Linked DNA regions of Caenorhabditis elegans. The protein of the gene in region 2 purifies or fractionates together with the protein of the main gene of each other region. This does not show direct contact. Each region holds a gene or a part of one and is shown on either strand. Other genes may lie near its edges. The genes, in order: F55G11.8 and F35E12.10.

What was found.
Region 1: the proteins of F35E12.10 (region 2) and F55G11.8 fractionate together in Caenorhabditis elegans (co-fractionation; one large-scale study listed by BioGRID). This does not show direct contact.

What each region holds. Positions count from the first base shown.
Region 1 is NC_003282.8:12,960,665-12,965,149, reverse strand, and holds F55G11.8 (CUB-like domain-containing protein), read right to left. Parts: upstream 2,343-4,485; 5' UTR 2,268-2,342; coding exon 2,207-2,267; intron 2,162-2,206; coding exon 1,933-2,161; intron 1,651-1,932; coding exon 1,541-1,650; intron 1,494-1,540; coding exon 1,292-1,493; intron 1,166-1,291; coding exon 1,050-1,165; intron 1,006-1,049; coding exon 860-1,005; intron 778-859; coding exon 716-777; intron 668-715; coding exon 568-667; 3' UTR 505-567; downstream 1-504. Other genes in the region: F55G11.7 (CUB-like domain-containing protein), read right to left, coding at 3,030-3,129, 3,175-3,236, 3,290-3,435, 3,492-3,607, 3,723-3,927, 3,986-4,095, 4,278-4,485.
Region 2 is NC_003283.11:13,745,015-13,750,273, forward strand, and holds F35E12.10 (CUB-like domain-containing protein), read right to left. Parts: upstream 3,339-5,259; 5' UTR 3,337-3,338; coding exon 3,267-3,336; intron 2,885-3,266; coding exon 2,781-2,884; intron 2,734-2,780; coding exon 2,630-2,733; intron 2,587-2,629; coding exon 2,465-2,586; intron 2,377-2,464; coding exon 2,273-2,376; intron 1,882-2,272; coding exon 1,433-1,881; intron 1,338-1,432; coding exon 1,008-1,337; intron 957-1,007; coding exon 776-956; 3' UTR 682-775; downstream 1-681. Other genes in the region: cld-9 (CUB-like domain-containing protein), read right to left, coding at 4,224-4,597, 4,645-4,847.

The DNA.
Region 1 (4,485 bases), on a different chromosome or scaffold from region 2:
AGAGTTGTACAGGTATACGTTTTTAATTTTTTAGTATGTTACTCAAAAGACGCAGGAAAGCATAGGAGAAGTGTGAGCTCGACCGGTTACTTGCGAACTTCTATCCGTGTCGGCTTCATTGACGATTTTGTTTTCCTCGACGTTCGTTACAAGTTCATCTTAAAATGTTTACAGGTGGAATCTTCTTCATGTGTTGGATAATTAGTGTAAATGTAAATCATTCTCACTCTTAAGATTTTCTGATTTCTTGAACTCGCATTGCTATCAGTATTAAATACTCATAACTTATCAGTGAAACTGCGACCTGTCCCAATAATGATGTCATTTTCAGACTAAAAGTTGTCACAAGACCATTATTTTTTAAACTTCATCTCTTAGCTTAGGGCATCATTTTACATTTTCACAGAGCTCACGACCCTACCCCTTACCCCCAACGCCTTCCATTGGCAGAAAGCCAAGTCTGAAGATGAACAGAGATATCTTAAACCGTATAAATTTCAAATATCAAAGTTTGCAAACCATCTGTATGAATTTGTAGGTCTTATTTATAAAAAAAACATTTAAAAATTAGCTCTTGAACGTGAAAACAGCTTTGCCACTGCTGACCACAAACTGCACAAAATATCCGCCGAACGACAGTGGGAATGCGTTCTTAAGTTGTGTTTTGCTGAAACAAAAAAAAAACTTAACTTGTAGAAACATAAAATTTACTCACGTATAGGTTTTATCAAATGTAAATGCGCTTGGAGAACCATCGTAGACTGTGACGGTAGATTCCTAATGTAACAATTAAAATATATCTCAGTTAAATATACTATTGAATTAAAAGTTTAAAATATTTTAATCTGGTTAAACATACATCTTTCATCTGAACATCAACCATGTGCATTGTGATATCGGAAACAGCAACAAGAGAAGACATGCGTGTCCCTCCGTTTACAGTTACATTATAGGTTGAGTTCAACTGCGGGTGGATTTCCACCGTCTCACTGATTCCAGTCAAGTCTGCGTATTTTTTTGTCACTATTGAAATTGATCCTTAGACTTACATCTAGATGCTTGGATGAGAAGTTTATCGTTAACCTGACTAGCGTCGAGGTTCACTATTACAATACTGTCTTGACTTGATACCCATTGCTTCTTCGACTGGTAGAGTAAGTAAAGACTGAAAAAATGTCAAATGATATTTTGCAATACCCTAGATTCTCTTTTTTATTACTTGCAGTTTAGACTTCAAGTATAGTATTGCTACTTGAAAAAATATCAAGAACTAACTAGTTTGAAAACTTACTTCGAAATGTAGTTTCCACTTTGCAGACCATTTCCTTCGAATATGAGAGCGCTTCTCAACGAATGATATTTTTTATCGTCTGCAGGGAAGGCCATTAAAGTGAGTCCACCAGTTGAACCATATTCAATGGCAAGAACCTCATTTGTTACATCCAAAACTGCTCCAACAGCTCCAACGCCATAGTTGGTATTCACTGATGGAACTGAAAATATTGAAAAATTAGAACTTTAAAGTGCACAATGAGCTTACGAGGAAACCAGACAACTTTGAAACCAAGTGTAGCAAATCCTTCGTTGGAGACAGCAAGAGTGAACTTTGAAGCCGGAAAGTAATAAGGTTCCATTTTCTCGTGGGTTGTTCTGTAAACATTGGATAAACTAAATGCTAACTAAATCTTACATTGTTCAAGAAATGCAACGTTCTATTGGGGTTTATCAGATTTATAATCAACTAAATATCTTTTAAATTATAACAGTTGAGCACTTTATCATGACACGAATAGCAGTAAACGAAGAAAATACAGTAAGTTAAAAAAAAATTAGTCATTCAATTGTCAGTGCAAAATCTTCCAAAGTTCAATTACGGAACTAACCTTCGGCCGCTTTAATCATCAGCACTCTAAAGTTGTAAAAATAACTCACTGAATAAGATTTCCTGCAGAATCGACAGTTTGGAATCTTGAATCCTTGTCAGTTGTCTTTCCACTGATTATCAGTTTTGCATAATATCCACGTGGAATTGTCACAATCCAACTGCACGACTGCTCCTTCTCAAGCTGAGGAGCTGGTTGGGTTTCGTTCCATGAAGCTGGCCAATAAAAAGGCTGACCATCAATAACGGGCTTATTGATTGCATTACCAAGTTTGCAACCTGCAGTTTTAACTTTGAAGAAAGAGTTATAAAACCTAGTTTTACCATTTCCCGTAGCCGAAACTATAGCAGCAATAGCCAAATAAATTAATAATTTTTGTAACATTTTGTTGAGAACTTTCACGTTCTGGAACTGAATATATAAACACAACCTGGATGACAATGTTTTCAGAAAAAGCATAAAACTGGCACGTTATCATCAAAATTGAAAACGTAGTTGATAAGAAAATGCCAATTATAAACTAGTGATGACCTTTTGGTTACAGTTTTGTTGACCAAATAATGAGTATAGAAATTGTCAGTACATATTTCCAAATCGAAAACTACTAGAGCAACTGCAATTCTTTTTTTCAAACGAAAATCGTCTAGGGTTTGAGCTATTGATTTCTGAATCTTTTGCCCACAGTGTCTTATCTTTCCCCTCTTCTTGTAAATTGTCATCATCAGGTGCAGAGTGCCTGAAAATTCGTAAAATCGTCATCGACAAAAAAGTTTATTCAATTAACTTTTGGAAAAATTTACAAGTTCCTGGTCGTTCTGCAAAATGATCTTGCGGCGACCTCGTTACACCAAAAGTTGTGTAGATCACAGTTAAACTGCAAAAAAAATCAACAGAAATTGTTCACAGAAAACGCTAAAATAAATCCTGAAAGGACTCGAGAAATCTTTAAAGATGAGAAAATGATGAACCAATTTGACAAAATCAAAAAATATCGAATAAAAAAGGATAAAAAGAGTGAAAATACGTAGAAACTTTCATAGCTTGGCAATGCCCGCTCATGTTTTTCTTCAAAACTTGAAAATAGCAAAATAGATTTGAGAATAAAAAATAGATTGGTATACTTTATTTTTAAAAAAACGATAAAAATTAACTTTTGAACGTGAACACAGCTTTGCCACTACTGACCACAAACTGCACGAAAGGTCCACGAAACGATAATGGAAGTGCATTTTTCAACTGTGTTCTACTGAAAACTGAGGCATTGAAGTTGAAAGAATTAATAGCGACTTACGTATAAGATTTATTAAGAGTTGATGCGTCTGGAGAACCATAGTAAACTGTGACTGTAGCGTCCTGGAAAATATAAAGGATTTTAATGAAAAACTCCAAAACTCTGTTAAACTTACACTTTCCATCTGAACATCAATCATTTGCATTGAGAGATCAGTCACCGCAACAAGTGATGACATCTGTGTTCCTCCGTTTACAGTTCCGTTATAGATTGAGTTGGCCTGAGGGTGAAGCTCCACCATCTCACCGGTTCCAGTCAAATCTGATTATTTTCTCAGTTTCAACCAAAACCATATTTTTGGCTATATTTTGGCTCACATTTAGATGCTTGAATAAGGAGTTTATCATTAGAACTACTGGCTTCAAGGTTCACTATGATGATTTCGTCTTGACTGGATACCCATTGCTCTTTCGTTTGGTACAGCTGGTAGAGACTGTAAAATTTCAAATTAAAACTAAGCCTTAAGGTAAACAAAAATGAACAGGCGTGGACGCTTAACTCGCATGTTCCTGCAGATTTGGAGCCAATATTACTTCCCTAACCCTTACTTTGAAATATAGTTAAAAGAGGTGCAATCGTGTCCATCAAATACAAGTGTACTTCTCAATGAATAATAATTCTTTGGGTTTACAGGGAAGGCCATCAATGTAAGAGAGTCACCAATTGAATAGTATTGCATAGCGATAACTTGACTCGTCACATTCATAACCAATCCATTAGCCCCGATTGCAGCATCGTCGTTCATAATTGGAACTGAAATATTCATAATTGAAACTGGAATATACGAATTAAAAGATTACGCGAAACTTACGAGTGAACCAAACAACTTTAAATGCAAAAGTATCTGATCCTTCATTAGAGACAGCCAGGGTGAACTTTGGACCCGGGAAGTAATACGGTTCCATGTTTTCTTGGGAAGTTCTGGAAACAATCATATTACCAGAAAATGGGTACCATATATGTAATAGTCAGAAATAGTTTCTGCCAGAATTATTGAGATAAAAAAGTTAACTTCCTGTGTTCACTTAACCTTTACTGGGTAGACCAAATCCTAATCCCTAAATCTCTAAATTTCACTTGAAAGCTGGAAAAAAATAACTCACTGAACAAGATTCCCTGCTGCATCTACAGTTTCAAATCGTGAATCCTTGTCAGTTGTCTTTCCACTGATAATCAGTTTTGCATAATATCCTCGCGGAATTGTCACAATCCAACTGCACGACTGTTCCTTCTCCAGCTGAGGAGCCGGTTTAGTTTCGGTCCAAGAAGGTGGCCAATAAACAGGCGTCCCTTCAATTACAGGCTTGTTGA
Region 2 (5,259 bases):
CATCTATTTATATATTTTTCAAACGACAAAAGAGACGAAAGGCATGGAGCAGAACAAGCTGATAAGGAAACACGGAAGACTCAAAAGTTCAAAGCAATGTGGGTTGGTTGAGTCAGAATTTTTGTCAATATTACACAATATGTCGAAGAAATATTAAACATAAACCCGAAAATTCGCTATCTGATATCATCAATTGAAATTTTAATGCATACTGAAATTGAAATCGGAGATTAGGAACTTAACTTTTGAATAATGAATCATAATTTGACACGCATTAAATTTTGTATTTTGATTTTGTGAGTAAAGCCTTTTAAATAAAACTTCAAGTCTGGCACATAACTGGTAGGTGATGGGTTATGTTTTGTGATACTTTCTACTTTTCAAATCAAATTAAAATAGTCTTCACGGTCAATCGCGCGTATTTGTTTTTCAGATAAAAAGTTGCAGGCACACAATTGCCTATGCGTGCCTCGTATATATGTACGATATAGGCATACTAGGAGTTTTTCAGAGGAATTGAACTTTTCCCCATGTTCTTCATCAGATTTTGTTCATTTTTTTGGTAGTAAGACTGTTCCATGTGTGATTCTGGTAACAAATAGAGGATTTTCATTACACACACACGATCTGCAAATTTCATGAAAAAAACACACACATTTTCTAAATAATCGAGATAGCAGAAGTCATTAAAAACGTTTATTATGATGCCATATAAAGAAAAGAACAGAAGCAATCAAGAAATATCCGACATGTTTCCATTGATAAGATGAATAACTTAAAATACTCTCAATAATGTAACAAACAAAGTGATAAAGATGCCGATTGAAGTTGCAGAATTATATTTCTTGAATTCAAATGCAACTCGAACTTCGGTGTTGGAACTAGCGGTGAGTCCTACTTTCATGTAATTTCCATTTGAAGAGACTGATCCAGTGGAACTTTTATCACGTGGGTATCTGAAAAAATCTTAATACAAAAATGTTCTACAAAATATTTATTCAACTCACTGGTTGTTGATAGCTGGATTTCCAGTTCCTGAACCAATTTGAAGTGTCATTTGGTCATTCGAACTGAATTTCATTCTTTCAAAGTCAACTTTGTAGGTGAATAGTTGAGTGTCATTTCGGAAGTCATAGTTCAAATTGTTTGGATTTGCATTTGGATTCCATAGACTCGGAGAAATAATGTATCCTTTACGTCCGTCGTATGGTCTCTGCCACGTGGCTTCATCATTTCCAGTATTAACATCAAATTTAATTGTTGCCAAGTGAATGTTGATCGTGAACATATTAGTCGGAATAACTTGTGGCATTTGGCTTGATGTGTATGTTTGAGCACTGAAATTCAGAAATGCCAAAGTTAATAATTAAAGTTTTGTGGCGCTTGTCCACGAAGAGCTCAACGAATTTGATACAGTTTTTTGTGAACTCACTCATATTGAATCAACGTTTCTTTTTTATGAGTTGGTGATTGCCCTTGGAAATTGACCCATCCATTGGAAAAAGTCGCAAATTGCAATTCTGTGAAATAGAACTGATTGCAATCAAGGCACAGAAAAGTATATCCGCCCACATTTCCGGACAGATCACCCATATTTCCATAAGTTTTTCTTCCGGAGTTTGAAACGATAAAGCTATATTTACTGTATCCAATCATTGTAGTTGCGTCATTTCCAATAACGTATGACGTGGATTTTGTACCGTAGAAATTGACAAGTGTCAGTGATGTGGATGACGATTTGATATCAGATTTAGGCGAACCAATGTCAGCAAGAGTTCCAATCATTTTAGCAGTGGTAAGGTTGTCCCCGTCGTACACAAAGATTTGATCAAGAGCATTATCTTCAGCATCCGATGTTTTTTTGCCATGTGCTACCCTAACCTGTAAAGAAAATTAAATTCTATAAATATAAGAAATGCGTATTACTTAAAAATTCGCAATACTGCTACACAACAAAGCATTAACCAAAAATTATAGTTTATACTCTGATTCAAGATTGAATTTTTTGAAGCGTGGCAGCTTGATTTATCAATCAAAAGAGAAAGTTCTTTTTTCTTGGTTTAAAACCATTTTTACGTTGTTGCACATGAATTATACTACAAAATATTTATAAAACTCATGAGGCTTAACTGACTTTAGAAATATCGAGGTATATTTTGTGTATGAAAACGCTAGGTAAGGCTTGAATGCGGAGTTTGCCGAAAAGTTACCAGCAACTCCTCAAAGCACACAGTTTCTGAAGTGTTAAAATTTTCTGAAGCTTCTAACTAACCTTGTCATTTGGTGATGAGTTGAATGTGAAGTAGGTATTTCCGGTCAACTGAGATAAATCAAAATAATCTCCTGTTGTTTTCTTTACTTGAGTGAACCCGATCACTGAAACAAAGTGATGATTACACATTTTTAAAATTGTACAATATTTAAAATTTAAATTTTTTGTTGAGAATTCTATGCTAAAACTTACATTGGTTAAATCGATAAGTGACCATGAACTTGCTGTTACCAGTTGTTCCTTTGATTTTAATTGTAGCAATTGTAGCAGCTAGCCATACAGGAATAGTTGTATCATTTGTTGTAGGGCGTACTCTGTAATCTTTTTTTTCAAATTTTTTTCTGGCTTTCCACATACTCTCTCTGTTGATTATTGTTGTCAATTAACAAAATATGATCATCTGCTTGAAGAGGACCCACAGACAATTGAAGGAAAAGTGCATATCCGTTGGGAATGTCAAACTGAAAATAATGTTTTCTGTGTTTCGATGTGAAATCTCGAAAATTACATTAATTGTGCAGTCTGTGCCTTTTGGTATTACAACTGAACTTGTGGCTCCTTCAGGAATATTACCATTTTGTCTAACCGAGGTGATATTGTTAGCGGGACAATCTGAAGTTGTAAAATTGTATGTTTTAAACATGTCTATAAAATTGTTAAGTGTTTTTTATCTTTTGAGGTACACTGTGGTATCGAAACTGTCTATGTTCGTGACACCATGGAAAAGATACAAAATGCCTTTAGAATTTTGGAAGTTGTCTTAAATGGTAGGTAGGAAATTTTTCACTCGTGCCTGCTTACCTTCGTTTCATTAAAATTAATTTACGCAATTCATGGAATACAATTTATTGAAAAAGTTTAAAAAAAAGAAGAAATAACATTTACTTTTGCAAAATAATTTTTTGAAAACCATATTTATCTATATAATTTCTTTAATTTAATGAATAAGAATTTTTTTTCTAAAATCCCAAATAAATTTAAATTCTAAACTCACTAAAATCAACAGCTTCAGACAATCCAAAAAAGAACAATAAAAACACTGGAACCCGCATTGTGAAGACCATCTGGAAATTTTTTAAGCATTTGAAAAATATTTGGAAAAAGAAACGTATTAAAAATTTTGCCGAAGTTCAAATGACAGACTTTTGCCATCTGTCGTTCTAGGGCTAGCTTATATAAATAAAACTTGCTTGCGGTGCAGACACATACTGATAAGGATTTTTTGAAAGTTTAAAAGTTCAGTGACTCGACACTAATAACTATAAGTTCTGACATCATGAACTAATGGTCTGGAACTATAAGAAAGTAACGAGAAATGAGCCAACTACTAACAAATTCTACTCCCCTAAAGCCTAGATTTTTCCTTTTGTTTCACAAAAAAGTTGTAGATTTTTCTTACTAGGAATGTCAAACAAATGAAAAAGCTGTGCAAGTGGAACAAATATATTTACCTCGTGTTTATAATGGATTTTCTGTCTGAAAGCTTCTCCCTCCTCCTCAATCAAATGATTGTCACCCCACGCCCCCGGTTACGATTTGTTTATTTTCATGATAACTGCAGCACAATGAATCTGGAAAGAGGTGATTCATCTTTGTGAAACTTTATATTTCTGGAAAACAATAATTGTTAAATGACTCAGTGTTGCCTGAAAATCTTTCACATCAAAATAGGAAACCCATGAGAATTTAAGGGAACGAAGGACCATCGTTGTATGAAGGTACCTGTCAGAAGAGGTATGTAGTGGATCACATATCAAATACCATCTACGTTTCATTTCAAAATTAGCCGTCATTAAAAACTAGATCACAAAGAAATCATTCCTACATCATGCTCTTCATAGTTTGTAGTGTTTGGATTTTATAGTCTCTGACGTAACGCCTCTTCTCAACTTCATCTAATGCAAATAATTTATTGAGTTCTTCGAATATTAAGAAAATTAAGATTTTATAGTCAACAGTTCAAAAATAAAGCAATCAACAGACTAATTCCACTTGCAATACCAAATGTATTCTTCAATCCCGATTTAGTAGTTGATTGAATAGAAGAACTTGTAGATTTACTTGGTAAATAACTTGTCCCCTGCTCTCCGTTTGCATTGGCCATTTCAAATGTGACAATGGATGATGAAGAAGTTGAATCGCCTATGTATTCAATCATTAAATAAGTTCCATTGGCAAGTCGACTTTGATCCGAAACACTGTTAGTGAATGTCAAACTCGATGGTTTAAATCCTGGTAGTCCAACTTGAACATGCATCTGTTCTCCAGCCTGATGAATAATGGCCTTTTTAATATTGAAAGTAAATGTCATGACATTAGTTGATACTGAAACTTTAATAATTGTGATGTATTTAAAACAGGTATAAACGTACCAAATGTATGATTGTATCCTGATGTTGCTTCAGGTGTCCATAGAGATGATGAGAAAATACTTCCTTTCCTTCCATTATAAGGGGTTAACCAATTATCAGCAGTAGAAGACAAAGTCAATGAAAGTTCTGGGCCTAGTGTTACCATACTGAATAGCTTTGCCGGAATCATTTGAGGCATTGAGTTCTGCACTGCATCAGTTGCTCTGAAAATTTAGATAATTGAAAAGAAAAAAGTGATTCGTAATGAACACTAGAATTTTTACAGCTGAGTAGAAGGCCGAGATATCAACAACTATATTGTAAAGATTGAAAAAACGTGATCTACAACAAAAAATTGGCAAAAATAGACTCTATTGAAGTGACTTCAGAACAGTAAAACTGGCAAAAACCATAGACTGAAACAGTTTTTAACTAGGGCTAGAAAAAAATGGGTTTAAATGGCAGGTAAGCAAGTTTTTAGGTGACGTTGCCTGCCTACCACCTATTTTTAACGTAGATCAAACCAATATGACACACTCTGACACCACGTGAGACGGTTGGGATGGAAAATTTATGATTTCTGTTAATTCCATAAATGTTTTTTTGCTATCAAGAACGCTTATCCTTAGTTTAAAA